Rhinolophus ferrumequinum: one gene and its partner. The protein of the gene in region 1 interacts with the protein of each later gene in a biochemical or structural test. Links are inferred from orthologs where the notes say so. Each region holds a gene or a part of one and is shown on either strand. Other genes may lie near its edges.

The links.
Region 2: the proteins of PEX19 (region 1) and PEX13 form a complex in vitro, tested with the Homo sapiens proteins (2 studies listed by BioGRID and IntAct, with this or other methods). The link is inferred for Rhinolophus ferrumequinum from reciprocal best matches to the Homo sapiens genes PEX19 and PEX13.

Annotation. Positions count from the first base shown.
Region 1 is NC_046305.1:28,254,584-28,262,753, reverse strand, and holds the start of PEX19 (peroxisomal biogenesis factor 19), read right to left. Parts: upstream 3,222-8,170; 5' UTR 3,209-3,221; coding exon of another isoform or gene 3,139-3,208; intron 2,658-3,138; 5' UTR 2,599-2,657; coding exon 2,427-2,598; intron 1,700-2,426; coding exon 1,590-1,699; intron 1,174-1,589; coding exon 1,008-1,173; intron 579-1,007; coding exon 493-578; intron 275-492; coding exon 113-274; intron 1-112. Other genes in the region: COPA (coatomer subunit alpha), read right to left, coding at 7,480-7,539, 7,810-8,004. UniProt on the Homo sapiens protein: Necessary for early peroxisomal biogenesis. Acts both as a cytosolic chaperone and as an import receptor for peroxisomal membrane proteins (PMPs).
Region 2 is NC_046296.1:27,975,867-27,983,500, forward strand, and holds the start of PEX13 (peroxisome biogenesis factor 13), read right to left. Parts: upstream 3,159-7,634; 5' UTR 2,970-3,158; coding exon 2,878-2,969; intron 1-2,877. Other genes in the region: tRNA pseudouridine synthase Pus10, read left to right, coding at 6,456-6,581. UniProt on the Homo sapiens protein: Component of the PEX13-PEX14 docking complex, a translocon channel that specifically mediates the import of peroxisomal cargo proteins bound to PEX5 receptor.

The DNA.
Region 1 (8,170 bases):
AGAAAAAAACAGATGGACTTGAGTACTCGTTTCTCTATCTCTGCAGTCTCTAAGGAGACAAATTAGCCCACAGGAGAGCAAGGAAGAAAAGCAGAAATAGAAGTTCACATACCTTTTCTGTGATCTCCCTCAGTGATGGGTACAACACATCCTTGGACAGTAGGTTCTGCATGATACTCTGCATGATGGGGAGGATGTTGCCTTCCCCTTCCCCTTCATCCATGCCCAACCCTTCCATGGCTTTGGTCAACTCCTCTTCTGACATGCCTGAGTTCTAAAAAGGACAGGAGAGAGATGAGCAAGTACATTGCCTTCTTGGGATGCTTACTACCCTTTCAGGTGGGAAAGAACTATTTAAACTTGCCTATAGCAAAACAGTGAGGCAGAGACAGACTTGAGATGATACCCAAGAAACTCTGTCTTTGAGAATCTGCTGGTGAAGTGTCTAGGAGTGGGCCCCTTGTGGTTCCATTCCTGCCCACCCCCCCTCACCTGCAGATCAGTGGCATTTTTGGCTAGTCCACTTAGTGTCTCCTTTAGGCAAGAAGTGAATTCTTGTTGGGAAGTCGCATCACTGCCTAAGAGATCAAAAGAACCAAGGTCATTAAGGATTTTAACTGTTTGCTTACCTAGGCTGACCTGGTTACCAGCTTGGACATGGAGCATTTACTAGTGAGTCACGATTACTCCAAATCTTTATAGTTATCTTTATAGTCATTTTCACCAATCTACATGGACTACATGTCAGTTTGTTCTCCATGATGACACCTTCGAAAACACTGCGACCATTTACATGACCAGCTTTCAATAATCTTTCCTATTACTTTCCACTTATTTCACCCCTTTCATTAAGCAGCGTGCCCATCCTTCCTCCCATCTCCTTGCCCTACCCCCATAGAAGTGGTATCATGACTATCAACTTCACTAAGAATTTTGGGGTTTTCAAGCAACGATGACTTAAGAAGAGATTTGTTCAGATATTTCCAGTTGTCAGGCACCCCCCTCACCCACTCTCCCAGCAGCCTCTGAGAGCTTTTGGAACTGTTCCACCAGGTGGGGCTCTTCCTCAGCCAACTCCTTCATTGCCTTCTCGAACTCTGCAGTGGCTTGGGAAGCCAGCTCGCTGTCGAAAAGTTCCTGGAAAAACTTCTCTTGGGAGGCGAAGAGGGCATCCTGCAGGGGAGGAGTGGCCAAAATGCATCTCTTACTTGGCACTGCACTGCACCTGGTTTCTGACAGAAACCACAGGCAGAGGCTCTGAGAAATGCAGTGTCTTCTTCCTACCCACTTTCACTGAACATTCTAATGACCTCTCTTAATAAGGACAGCAAGAAGGTATCTGTCAGTATGGAGTGGTATTCCCAAACCAATCATTTAAATTTCCTTTCTTAAGGAATCCCCTTGAGATCTCTAAACTCCACCTCAAGTCAATTCCCTGTTTCACAAGGACTGAGGCCTGCAAGAGCACTCAGCAGTGTGAGGCCAAGGCACCCTCCCCTCACTCCCCTCTGGCCCACTGGGGCCTGCCCCACCTCTGCTCAGAGTTGCATGCCATCCCCTCCCCTCCCTTAAATGGGTAGAATTTATACTTTGGCAGTGTCTCCTGGCGATCTCTTCTGGGTCCCTGAAGCATCAGGGGCTGTAGTGGTAGGAGGGGGTGCTGGGGAGGGTTTGGCCTTATCGAAATCATCAAGAGCACCTTCAGAGACAAGAGACATGGTATGAGTTTTGGGGATGGATGAGGATGAAGGAATGAGGGGTTTCTGGGTAAAGCACTGAGAGAACAATTTTTCAAACTGCCCACGTTCCTAAATTTTTCTTTTTCTGAGTGTCCCTTTCCTGGCCCTCCCCTCAGTAAGCCTCCCACTTACCTCCCCATTACCTAATTTATTATGATCAAAGGGGAAGAAACATCTTAAGGAACAGGCATCTCTCTCAGAGCTGGGAGGAGAGGGTTAAAAGAAGTTCTGCAGAGACATCTCCATCTACACAGTGCCTTCCCTGCCACACTCTAATGATTCCCTAGAAATCTTATACAAATATCTAACAGGCACAGAGAACACAAATGTCCTTAACCCCCTGAACTCACTCTGGATCCCTGAAAGGAATAATCTTCTGCAAGAAAGCAAAAGCCACAAATGTCCCACCCAGCTCCTCATGGATCCTGATACAACTAGAAACTGAGGGACTCCATACTGCACTCCAGGGAAGGGCATTAAACTCTCTTTTCTTATCCTTCAACTTAGGCCTCCCTGGGCAAAGCTCCTAGAGCTAGTTCCCTCTGGCCCCATCTCTGCAGATAACTGTGAGCAGATAATTCACACAGAATCACTTGGCACTGTTGCTGAATCACTTATTCACTGTTTCTGTTGTCCTTCCACCTGCCCACATCTCTGTGACTGGGCAAGAGACAAAAAAATATTCACCTCTGCCCTGAAAAGCCTGTGTCCTCACTACCTTCTGCTTGCCAGGCCTAGGGGAAGGGCACTGGCTCCACTCTGGGCAAGAAACCAAGAGGAGTGGAGGACAGGGTTCAGGAAGAAAAGAACATCCACCCTCTTTCAGTAGGGTGAACTGTCTTCCTTGAGACCTTCTCATCCTCTATTTTTCAAAATAATGGCAAGGGAGTCGGCTTCAGCTTTGACCTGATGAAATAACTGAAAAGGGGCCTGGTGAGACAAAGGTGAAAGGACTGGGAGCAGGAAAGTGTCTTTTATGTTAAGGATAAGGCAGTGCATAGCAGAGTGAGCTACGGGCTTGTTAAGAGTTAATGTAAGCAATCTGCGAGTGTCTGGTTTGCTGCCCACCGAGGACCGAATGAAGTTCGACTTCAAGAACTTACTAAAGGGAAGGAGGGTTTGGAACTGGATCGTCAAACGCAGTCCCCTGGGTTACTGTTTCCCCTCTGGCAGAGAGATCAACGGTCTGGGCTCTCAGGGGCCCAACGTGAAGGCCGCAGCTCCCGCCGCGGAGGAAGATGAGGGGGACCCAGAAATCGGGATCGCAGTCAGACCCTCCGCACCCGTCCAATCTTTGGACAGCCTTCCCCGCTCCGCCCCAAATATCTCAGGCTCACTTAACTCCTTGAATGGGTTCTCATACCCGCCCTCCTCGGTTCTTTCCATTATGGACTCTTACTTTCCAGAAGCTCTTCCAATTCCCGGTCCGCTTCGGCGCTGACCGCACAGTCCTCCTCCGCGGCGGCCATCTTGCTACCTCTGACTCGCCGTAGGAGGCGGGATTCCGCTAGGCCCCCCGCGCTCCACCCTTTCCGCCTCTGCGACCAATACTAATTTGGGGCAGTACGGAGCCGCCCCAAAGGGACAGGAAACTCGATTTGGGGTGGGTTTTTTCCCCTTACGCCAGGAATCATTGAACTAACATAGAAACTTACTGTTATCTTTTGCTAGGTTTCTTACTGGCCTGGCTTCCTTTCATTCAGTTTCCCTGATTACCCAGAGAAGTAGCTCTTCCATTATTTTTTTCAGTACTTAACTCTTTCTGACATAATATATATTTTACTTATATTGCTTATTGTCTCCCCTTCCCAGTTCCACCCCTCCCCCCTAGAATTTCAACACCGTGATGGCAAGGATTTTCGTCCTGTTGTCTTCAATGCTGTATTCTCAGCTCCTAGGCTAGGGCCTAAAACTTAGTAGGCATTCATTGGCCATCCTTTGTTCTCCCAGATCCTTATGAAACACGTTTCTCTGTGGGACCTAATGGACATCTCTCCTTTCCTATTCTCCATTAGAACTGTTAGACTAAAGGACACAGGGCCAGGACTTGTTACGACTCAATGTTGGTTGAATCAATTCAGGCAGGAAATGAGACTCTGGGACCTTGGACTGAACAAGAGGGCAATTTGAATGTAGTAGTAATAGACCTGCCTTCCCTGATCCATCTCCTTTTCTCTGTACAGAACGCAACCTCCAATGGAGTGAAGTTGGAGAGGCTCACATAGAGACAACTCTAGACATCCCTTTCCTCCTCTGAGATTGTTCTCCTATTCAGATCTGTCATAATACATAAACTGCTTCAGACACAAATCTATTTTAGCACTTACAGGACATCTGCTGTTGTTTAAGACCTGTTGCAGCTCACAGTGGAAGATAGAGATAAATCAGGATCAGCCCTTGCTGACTGGGGATTAGGCTGGAGGTAGGACTACACATACACACAGTAAGAATGGCACAAGGAAAGTGTCTTTAAAAAGCTCAGGGTAAAGTGCCATAAAGTTTAAAAGGGAGAAATCACATCAGAATGAAAAGAGTCACTTCATGACTTTCATCCTTAGCTTTCCAAACACTTGAATACTGTGTCAAGCACCAGATTAGGTACGTTTTCTTTCCTTTACAGATAGGGCACAGACTTGTAAAATCATACCTGTGCAAAAACTACTGTATTCTTCTAAGCACAAGTAGTGTGACTTGGGAGAACACATTCTGAACTGGGAGACCCAACTCTGTCAATAAATTACTCTGTTCAAAACCCTTCACCAATTTAGACCTCAGATTACAAGTATGTAACAATACAGTTGGGACTCCAAGGTACTTTTCAATAGTTCTATAATCAACACTTGTAACAATTTATTACAGGCTAACTTGCTCATTCAATTCCAAACTGCTTACATGTGTATGCCTAATATAACTATAACTACCGTGTTTCCCCGAAAATAAGACCTCGCTGGGCAATCAGCTCTAATGTCTTTTGGAACAAAAATTAATATAAGACCCGGTCTTATAGTAAAATAAGACCGGGTCTTATATTAATTTTTGTTCCAAAAGATACATTAGAGCTGATTTTCCAGTTAGGTCTTATTTTCAGGGAAGCATGGTATATCAAGTGCATGTTTAAAAATATAACAGGCATTTCTATTGGCTTTTCATTAATGTGGCTATATAATCATGTTAAGGAAAATACTAGATGGTAATTGAGAAGATTAAGATGGAGTTCTAAACAAGCACGGTTCTTTGCTTTGTATCTTAAACTTGCTTCTGCTTTTGTTTTTACTACTGATACTCCTAACACTTCATCTCATATTTACTCACCTTCTGCCTTTCTAATGTATAGTGAACACTGTTGCAAAAAAGTAATTTACAGCATTTTTTTTTATATCACTCTCTCGCTTAAGGATATAATGGCTTTCCACTGTTTATTTACCGACTTCAAATTCTTGCCCGGTATTCACAATTATTTCACATATATCCATGTTGTTTCCCCAATTCCCTAAGCTTCAAGAGGCACAGATTGCACACTTTTTTCATATCCCTGAGTTCAGAATGTTTATATTTATATGTGAAGTTAATTTTGTAATTTAATTTTTAAACATAGAAAAAAATTTTTTTGCCAAAATGTATCACCAATTTGCTTGTTTACAGAAAGAATGCAGGGCGGCCAGATGGCTCAGTTGGTTAGAGCGCGTGCTCTGAACAACAGGGTTGCCAGTTCAATTCCCACATTGGCCAGAGAGCTGCGCCCTCCACAACTAGATTGAAGGCAACGAGCGGTCGCTGAGCTGCCAGAGGGGCGGCCGGATGGCTCAATTGGTTAGAGTGTGAGCTCTTAACAATAAGGTTGCTGGTTCAATTCCCACATGGGATGGTGGGCTGCGCCCCCTGTAACTAAAGATTGAAAACAGTGACTGGACTTGGAGCTGAGCTGTGCCCTCCACTAGACTGAAGGACGACGACTTGGAGCTGATAAGCCCTGGAGAAACACACTGTTCCCCAGTATTCCCCCATTAAAAGTTAAAACAATAAACAATAAAAATAAAAAAATTTATATATATATAAAGAATGCTTATAACTTGAGAAAATGTTATCAAAGTAGTATGCAAATTTTTGAAAAAACAGGCTCAGCTTGGGGATACTATGTTTAGAAAGCGACTCTTAAAGCTAAAAAGAAAAATAAAGGCCTGTGCTCTTTGACGTAGGAATTCCATTTCTAGTTTATCCCCCACCTGTATAATGTGTGTTCAAGTTATTCATTGCAGCCTTGTTATAATAGCCAGAGATAGACTGGAAATAACTCAAATATCCATCAAGAAGGCAACTTACATAAATCGTAGTAAATAATACATGGTACACTATGCAAAGAAGTAAAAAAGAGTGAAGCTCTCTAATATAATGAGATGAAAAAAAAATCCCTAAAATATGTTAAGTGAAAACATTAATAAGGTGCAAAATCTTTAAATAGCCTGCTTCCATTTATGTATAACAGGGGGATAGGGAGAAACATATTCCTATCTGTTTGTATATACATAAATCTCTGGAAGGATAAGGAAGCTAACAACAGTGGTTTCTTGTTTTGGGGAAGGTGATAGGAACTATGTGGCTGAGGAAAGGGATGGGAGGAAGACGTCACAAAATAGCTTTTTACATTTACTGATTTTTGAATCATATGAGTGTACTGTTTATTGAAAACATGAATTTAAAATGAAAAAGTACATACTTTAATCAAAGGCACAGCATGTCACTGTATAGTCTTAGCACATAACAAGCAAAATACTGTATTGCTAATATAATAATTGTAATAAATACAACGTGTTTAATACTAATTAATCTGATATATAAAACATCCAGAACAGTTACAGGTGCTCAATAAATATTGGTATAATCAGCAATAGATAGAAGGATGCAGTTCAATGATGAAATGAGGGAGCCACTTACTTTCTACCATTCTCATAGCAGTTTAATATATCCTATGGGAAAAAAAATTTAACAACGGGTATTTATTATTTTGTAATTAGAAATAATTATCGAAGGAAAGACATCTGCTTTGGTGGGGCAGCTGCATGGAGTAAGCAGGAACATGAGCGTATCCAGGAAACAAATAGCAAGCCATAAAATTCTTGTAGAAATTTATTTAGTGTGAGAAACAAAAAATAAGAACAATGGTTGTAAAGAACAAATCAATAAAAAGGGATGTGCGTTTTTGAAAAGCCAAAGTTTCTTCTTAGACTTTAAGTTTCTGGGCACACAGAGGGTACCTGCCTGGGAGTTTAAAATGGGGGATGGCTAAGAGTTTGCTGTGATTGAGCAAAAGATGCTATCTTATTTATTATATCCCATTCCTTTCTAGCAAAAAAGGAAAAAAGGTGGTGAAGAGGAAAAAGATAAATATTGAAGGAATTTACTAAACAAATGTTCACCACTAAGTTTTCATTTGTTTCTTGAAAGAGCTAAGCTGGGAAGGCAAGTTCAACTGTGACTGCAATTGTGACTGCAACTATAGTAGTGACCTTGAAAGAATGAAAGGTCCTCAAAGGCAAAAAAAAAAAAAAAGAAAAGTCAAGTTTAGACATTTGATTAGCCACAGAAGAAGAGAAAAGGACACTACATTTTAGGGTAGGGAGAGCTAAATGTCAATTTGAAAGGTAGTTAAGGAACAGGGAGTTACAAGGACACAGAGACTAATTCTCTGGGGCAGTGGGAGGCGGATGGTATGGTGATTGACCCTTTACACACAAAGAGGGCCTTAGCGAAACTGCAGAGGACTAATCCTTAAACCAATCACATCTTTGCCAATCTCTGTCACCTGTAGAAGAGGAAACAAGAAAAATTTACGGGTTTGTGAGGGTGAGAAGCCTAGAAAGCTTACTCCCTCCACTCCTCAATGAGCACAGTAGAGTGATTTGTTATTGTTTGTTACTGATTGGTAAAGAGCAATGGGGAGAAGTTCTAGCTTTCTCCAGTATCACTGTCTCCAGGAGCTAGGGGCAAATAGAGGAGAAAAAGGACCAACATGCTTCTTTCTCGTTCACCTTCCCTCAATATTCTGGATGCATTTCTCAAGGACAGTACTTACTGTAGTGACCCTGCAGATTTGACCCTTGAACTCCGGGCAATAGCAGGCTCCACTGAGTGGACATTTCTCCACTGGCTTTCCACGGTAGATGGGCCGATAAGATGCAGCACAGATATCGAAAGGGTTGTGCATGTCATAATTGAGCTGGTAGACATCTGTGGGGTTCTTCTCACAGGCAGACAGGATTTTGCGGGTCTAAAGATAGGAGGGAAGGAATATTTATTTAAGAGGACTGAAAGCTGCACACCACAACTCAAATGATCTCATCTTCATGGTTTAGCAGTTTATTTGATGCAGGATGCAACTGTACTAATGAATTCAGAATATGTCCTCCGTACAGGACATACATGAAGGGATAACA
Region 2 (7,634 bases), on another chromosome or scaffold:
AAAAAGACAAGATTGAGAGTTTTCAGCAGAGAATAGAAATTATAAAGCAGAACCAAATGGAAATTCTAAAACTAAAAAAATACCTGAAACCATGAAGTCAATGAATGGTTAACACCAGATTAGACAGACTGAAGGAAAAATATCAGTGAACTAGAAGAGAGTTCTTCAGAAAAATATACCCAGAATGGAGCATGAGTAACAAAAGCATACAAACAAAAAAGTGCCAGATACAGATGTACAGTGAATATATGTGATTGTATTCGAAGGAGTGAAATGATGGGCAGAAGCAATATTTAAAGAGATCATGTCTCAGAGACTTTTCTGAAACTAATGAAAGACATCAAGTCAGATTCAAGAATCTCTATGATTCTTGAAACTCCCCCCCCCAAAAAAAAGAACACAAAGAAAACCAGTGAGGTTTAACAAAGTGTAACTCCTGAAAACCAAAAACAAAGAGAAAATCTTGAAAGCACCCAGAAGAAAAAAGATTCCTTTTGAAGGAGTAAGAATAAGACTGAGATGACCAAAACTGTTAGAAAGCTGACAGGGAAAGAAAAAAAAAAAAAAAAAGGAAGCCATGAAAAATGTAGGTCCCTTGATGACAATGTTGAATTAACAGATCTCTTCACTTCTTGCTAATTAAACAATAAATGTCTTAATAGTCCACAGCATAGCAAATCATAAATTGTTACTTGTAGAAGAAACTATTCTTGATCTAATGTTTAATAGCAGTTTCAGAAGAAGAGATGTGAAAGAATAGTGCTCAAACAATACTTAGAGATATAAATGGTAAGAATTTTCCTGAATTAAAGAAAGGTATGTATCCTTGGGCTGAACACTGGGGTACTGAGCATGAATACTGTAGCTACTCAGCAGGAGGAAAAAATATAAATGTGTATACGAGGCTGACAATTTACGCTAACGAACTCATCCTAGAAAAAGTGCTACATACCTCACTGCTGAATATCACTATGGTCACCTTTGAAGTACTCCCCTTGGGAAGCTATGCACTGATGCCAGCACCTAGTCCACCCTTCAAAGCAACTTTGGAACTCTTTTCTGGAATGGCCATCAGAGCTGTCGTCGTATTACCCTTGATGTCCTGAATGTCATCAAAATGTCTTCCTTCCAATATTTGCTTTATCTTCGGGTAAAGAAAGAAGTCACTGGGGGCCAGATCAGGTGAGTAGGGAGGGTGTTCCAATATAGTTATTTGTTTACTGGCTAAAAAGTCCCTCACAGACAGTGCCGTGTGAGCTGGTGCACTGTCATGATGCAAGAACCATGAATTGTTGGCGAAAAGTTCAGGTCATGTAACTTTTTCATGCAGCCTTTTCAGCACTTCCAAATAGCAAACTTGGTTAACTGTTTGTCCAGTTGGTACAAATTCATAGTGAATAATCCCTCTGATATCAAAAAAGGTTAGCAACTTCGTTGCAACAAATTCGTGAACTTAATTGTCAGACTTCGTATATACTTTTAATATAGTCATATATACCATGTTTCCCCGAAAATAAGACCGGCTAGGTATTACTTTCGGGGAAACATGGTACGTAAAATGTACATACAAACCTAAGTACTAAAATATAAAATAAAGTATAAAAACTGTTGGGTATCCTAAACACCAAATAGGTGCAGTAGTTACTGCAGGAAAGAGGAATGAGAGAGTTTATCTGTTTCTTTAATTTTTTTTTTTTAATCTGAGGCAAATCTGGCAAAACATTATTTCTTAAAGGTTGGAGTGAATACACATGTATTCATCATCTTACTCTCTATCGGTCTCTATGCATTTAAAATAATTCACAATGAAAAAAAGGGGGGAAATGGTTCATTTTAGATAAACAGAAATTTAACAAATGCAAAAATAAAACCCCTCTCTTCCAAAGAGCTGTCTAGATTTTTTTAATAAGTCAAATCACTTATAAAAAGGGTAGTACAAACTGTCACCACGGCTTAACCGCATAATTAAAGCTTATTAATTGCTAAGTATTTATTATTATTAAATTAAGTAGCTGTTGTGTTCAAGCATCTTAGCGTTTAAATAAAAGACTACAACATTTTGGAATAGAGCAGAAATACATTCCATTATGTCAGGGATTTGTGTGTGTTAGGTGTTGTGACATTCGAGTCTAATTATCTGAATTAAGATGTCCAGATCCACCCAACGCAAAACACATAAGGCTGTGAAACTCTTTTCTTTATGCTATTCCAATTCTTGAGTTGTAGATCTATTTAATACTGACTAAAAGCAAACAAAAAAACACAGGCCTTGGAAAAATCACACACTATTTTACACACAGAGGCCATCCAAAAGCCTCAGATTTAGAACTCCCGCTTTAAAGTTGCTTCTCAAAATCTCTGCCCGAAACGTTGCAGAGTTATGCTGGAAAAGAACGGAAAGTGTAGTGGCTTAGGTTTCAGCTGCGTAAAAGTGACCTTTTCGGCTTTCAACAGCTCGAGAGAGTAAAAGCTTTAGAGAGACTGTTCTCCCCATCGAGCTGGGACTAGGCAAACGCCACTCTCCTGTTACAGATCAAGAGTCTAACGCTTTAAAAGGGGGTCCAGCGGTACCGTCAAGGTGTCCCGCAAACAGAAAGGGGTAGGAAGCCGCTCCCTTTCTTCCAAGCACTGGGATCCAGAGAGACACCCAGGAGCTCCCAGAAGAACGTCGCTACCGAGAGAAGTCGGGTCAGAAACTGCTGTCAGACACCGAAATTCTCCCCTTAGGCCGCCCTGGGCCCCATCTCTACCCCGCAAGGTTAGGGGGCTGGTAGAGAGGGGGAGGGGAAACCTGGCCCCAACAACGGCCTCAACCGCCTCCAGCCAATTCCCCGCTCCGGCCCACCAAATTCGCGGCCTAAAGTATCCCACACTTACTGGAAATTGGGGCCGGGTCCTGGTCCCGGCCCGGCCCCCGGAATTCGGCGGATCTCCCAGGGCTTCGGGGGAGGCGGCGGCTGGGACGCCATCTCCTCCGCCTCCTCTCGGCTGCCGCTGGGAGTTTGGACTCTCCAGGCCTGAGTGCACCCGCACCTCGCGCACCAGGCACAATGGGCAGAACACCGAGCCTTCTACCCGGCCCACACCAGCAGTCAATACTTGGCTGTGGTGTTTTGCCAGCTAGGACCAGAGGATAGGAGGATGTCACTATCGTGGGGGGTAGGGCGGAGGGAAGGCTCTCATTTGCCCTAGAAAGAATTTCTATTCTAAACTTCACCGATAAGGTAAGGGTTCATCGATATTTCGGGCAGCTGCTACAATGTCTTAGACATCGGAGTCTCTCGGAGGCTTCTCGGGGACTTGTCCGGTTTAGGCCCGGAATTGCGTTCCAGGCACCCCTACACCCGCGGGAGAGGCGGGGTGTGTGGCAGCAGGCCAGGCGGTTTTACTGGTATTTCTGCTAACAAGCAGGGGACAGTTCACTCAGTCCTCCCGAGAGGGGCTGGTACTTTCATTTCTAAAGCTCTCGTTTCCTCGGGGAACACAATTTCTAGCGCAATAGGTGCGTTGTCTTTAGTCTTCCCCGTTCCCTGTGAGGACCGTAAAGGGTTAAATCTCAGGCTCCGGCGTCGTGGGAGAAGGTGAGGCAGGGAGATCTGAGGTCAAGGGGTGCGGACTGGGTGCAGGAGAGGTGTGGATGGAGGGGGTCGTTTTCTTCCTGCGTGGAGGATCTTTGTTAGCAAGGATGACTGAGTGGGAAGTTTTTTGAACTTGACAGAAGCGGGGGAAAGGTCTTGTCTGGCTAAAAAAGAGAGTCGAGGTTAGATCTTGGATGAATTTCCGGGGGTTTAGAGTGGATTCCACAGCTGAGTGCATCCGTAGCGAAATGGAGTTGTCAGCGCCTCCTTCTTTGGAAATCCACACCCCACCCCACCCCCACGAGACGAATGACACCCTGCAGTATGGAATGAGTTTTAAAATATCACGGGAAGTGAGACAGCCTGGTTGTTTTGGTGGTTTTTCACATGCCTTGCTCCTTCTCTATTTGCAATGAATTGTTTCTGTAATATTCCGAGAGGTGAAAAAAAAGTTCTTCCTTTCCTCCAGTAAACCAGAGTCTGGGCTAGTTATTATTGGTTTTGGAGAAGGGACTCTGTCCCCTTGGGGATCCTGACACATGGGAGAAAGTTTTGTTGCAATGACTGGTTCCATTTCTTTCTGTAAAACAAACACGTAAACGAAAAGCAAAAATCTTAAAGGCAACCAACAATGAGATGCATTTCTCAGGGCTTGCTTTCAAAGATAATAAACCTCATATGGAACAACCGATTTCTGATGTCTTTATGAAATCCTATCATTTCAGTGCTGTATATAAAATGAAACAACCAAATTTAAGGCATGGCGTATTTCCTCCTTTCAGTGTTAACGTTCTTGTGAAGCCGCTAGATTGTTGCTAAGTGAAAGTGTTCTTGAGAGCTTTGTTAAGTCCATTCAATTAATAACACATACACACTCAATAGTGTTTTTGTTGTTGTTTTGTTTTGTTTAAGACCTCTTCAAATTACTCAGGACAGGAGGTTTCCTAATTCTCAAAAGGTTTGGGAACTTCTCAGAGCAAAGAGGTAATGTATCATACCTTGCGTGATAACTTTATTCTAGTGAACCTATTGGAGAAATAAACATTGTCTTTAAGCAGAAGGAAAGAAAGTATACATTTTAATAAAACTATTTAACTTCAGTCTCCAGGGAAATCATTGATACAAACTGTCTTTTTAAGCACTTACTCATCTCTTTATTTACTGGGGAGGAGGGGTTATTTGTTTCTCTTTCTGAGTTAAAGGTTAATTCTGAATTAAATGAAATCCTCGACCTTAACCAATGGAAAGGAGTAAAGATAAAATAAAGGGTGAAACAGAAACAGTTCCTCTGTGAGGGGAGTGCAGTGAGGGATACACTTTAAAGGCTGATAATCAGCCCCTCACAGAATCTCAACCCTTTCTCAGCATCAAACTAGCAGGTTAAAAGGACTGGGAAAGGATTCAGATCACTTGTCAAAAATAATGACCACACAGAGTTCATCATGTAGAGAGTGTTCTCCGAATATTGTGTACTTTCATGAAAATTTCCCGGAGCCCAGATTTACTTACACAACCTTAAATTGGTGTTTCCCAGTCTGGTGTGTCCTAATTTTCTTCTCTTCCTCTCCCTGCCAACTCACATATTCTAGCTAGAACCCAGCTAGAGGCAATCTGTTTGTGGTTGTTTGTTTGTTTTTTTGTAGTCCTGGCTGCTGAACTGTTTTTTATGGTGAAGAGTTTTGTAGAATTATATACCTGTCTTCCTCATTATTTTGTGTCAAGGATCTACTCTTGATAAGTGGCCACAAACATTTAGAAACTTGCAAGTAAGTAGTGGGTTTTAAAGGGCTGAAAAAACACAAATTCTGAAAATTACATTTTCATAGTAAGCAGTTAATAAGAGCTTCAGCCTCCCACAAATTTTAAGCAAGTTCATTTGAATTAATGAAACTGCACAAATTAAAAGTTACTACAGTCTTGTATCAGTGTGACCACAGTAAACCATACCACATTACCATACAATCATTGTTTTACAAAACATTGCTAGTTCCTCATTGTAAAGTAATGTGGACTGCTTCATTAATCAGAAGAACATCTATTTTTGCCAAACAGACTGATTAGGTAATTTAATTTTTAATACCCCTCCTTCCTGGCAACAAGAGAGTTACATTGGATCCCCTCTTCTCTATGTAGTATTTGTTTCTAAGCGAGTTTATAAAAAAAAAAAGTTGCAAAAAGTAGCAACTTGTTTCAGATAACAATTACTCTTAAATATTTTGTGTTTAATTTGTTTTTGTTGGAGGTTTTACTTGTGTGTGAAAAGATTTTTCTCCTTTTGCTGGTGGTTGTCATTTAGTTATTTCATCAAAGTAAAATTGACATTTTTGGATCTACTGATCAATTTGTTTTAAATACTTGACTGCTTAGCTATCATGACGGTTAGTCAAGAATTATACAATATAGATTTATGTGATTTTTTTTCTAGCAAACTCATTTTTCATTTATAATAGGAAAAGTTTATTGAATTTACTACTCTGTGTTCTCAAAAATACTAAATGGTACGAAATAAAAAGCAAATTTTTACTCTGTACTCTTGTTTTCATTACCCATGTCAGAGAAAACCATTCTTTATTAATAATTTTATTTTTATTTCTTTTGATTGATTTAGTTATATTGATGTACTTTATCATAATCCAGAATGCTAAACTAAATTCCTTGACAGTTAGAAACTTTTACCTGATTCATCTAATTTCCTTCACGTTTATGTTTCAATATGCACATAATGAAAGGGACATTATTGGAAAGTATGAAATAGCGTTTTTCAAATAATAGCTAGTTTTTATCCCTAAAGGTGATAACATATTTGTCTGTGAAGTAAAACACGAAAGATGATCATTAGCTTTACTTTTTATTTCTTTCTAGTTATAATTATTCAATATGTTCCCGCTGACTGAGGAAAACAAGCATGTGGCCCAGTTGTTGCTCAGTACTGGGACTTGTCCAAGATGTATCTTCAGATTCTGTGGTGTGGATTTTCATGCACCTTACAAACTTTCCTATGAGGTATTTTCATTTTTTTTAAGTTAAGAAAGTTTTTAAATGAATGCCTGTACATTAGAAGGCAAATATCTATCCATAACTTCATTAAATTTAAAAAACTATAATAATTACTGATAATGTTGATTTTGGAATTTCCATTACCATAAAATGTAAGTTCTTTTTTAAGTGATTATATGTAGCGTTTAATATAGTCATATCTTTGTGGAGCAATTCTCTGGTGCGTTTACTGTTTGTACAGACCTTTCCTAAAGAGTATCTAGACAGAATATCACAAAATAGTGCTTCTCACCAGATATTAGTGAGATGTAACAGAGGGGGGTGATAGTCCTGAGATCTTCTATTAAGTGGAAGCATTGTGGATTTGGTTGCCTTTTTTTCTTTTTCTGTTTTCTATATTATCATTTTACTTACAGAGGCATTTGCAATCCTCTAGAAGTAAATGCTATCAAAATCATTATTTACTGCTATTAATAACAACAAAAGTAATATACAGAGATCTTTAACATTTATGGTAAAATACAGAGAGCTTTGACATTTAATAGAATACTTCCATATAAAATATGTAACATTTTATGAAATATATTTGATCCTAGTAGTGATTTTTTTTCAGAGACAGATAGTAATTATATATGTGTATATATACGTATATACACACACACACATATAGCTGTATAAACATGAACACACAGTTTCTTATAATTTTTAAAATATGCCCAGGAGTTAGCAACAGTAGTCATTTTTCCTATGTATTAGTTGTTTCTATTATTTTGGAAATAATTATATCTAATATTCATATAGCATTATTATATGTCAACCTCTCATATAATCCTCATAGTGATCTATTAGGTAAGTACATACTATGATTGTCTCTATTTTCAGATGAAGAAACTGAGGCACAGAGAGGTTAAGCAACCTGCCCAAAGTTACACAGCTATTAAGTGAGCAAGCTAGGATATGAACTGTCTGTCTGAATCCAAAGCCTAGAATTTGGAGCTAGAAGACACGGATTTGAATCCCAGTCTCATCAATTTCCACCTTCAGTTTTCTCCTCTGTAA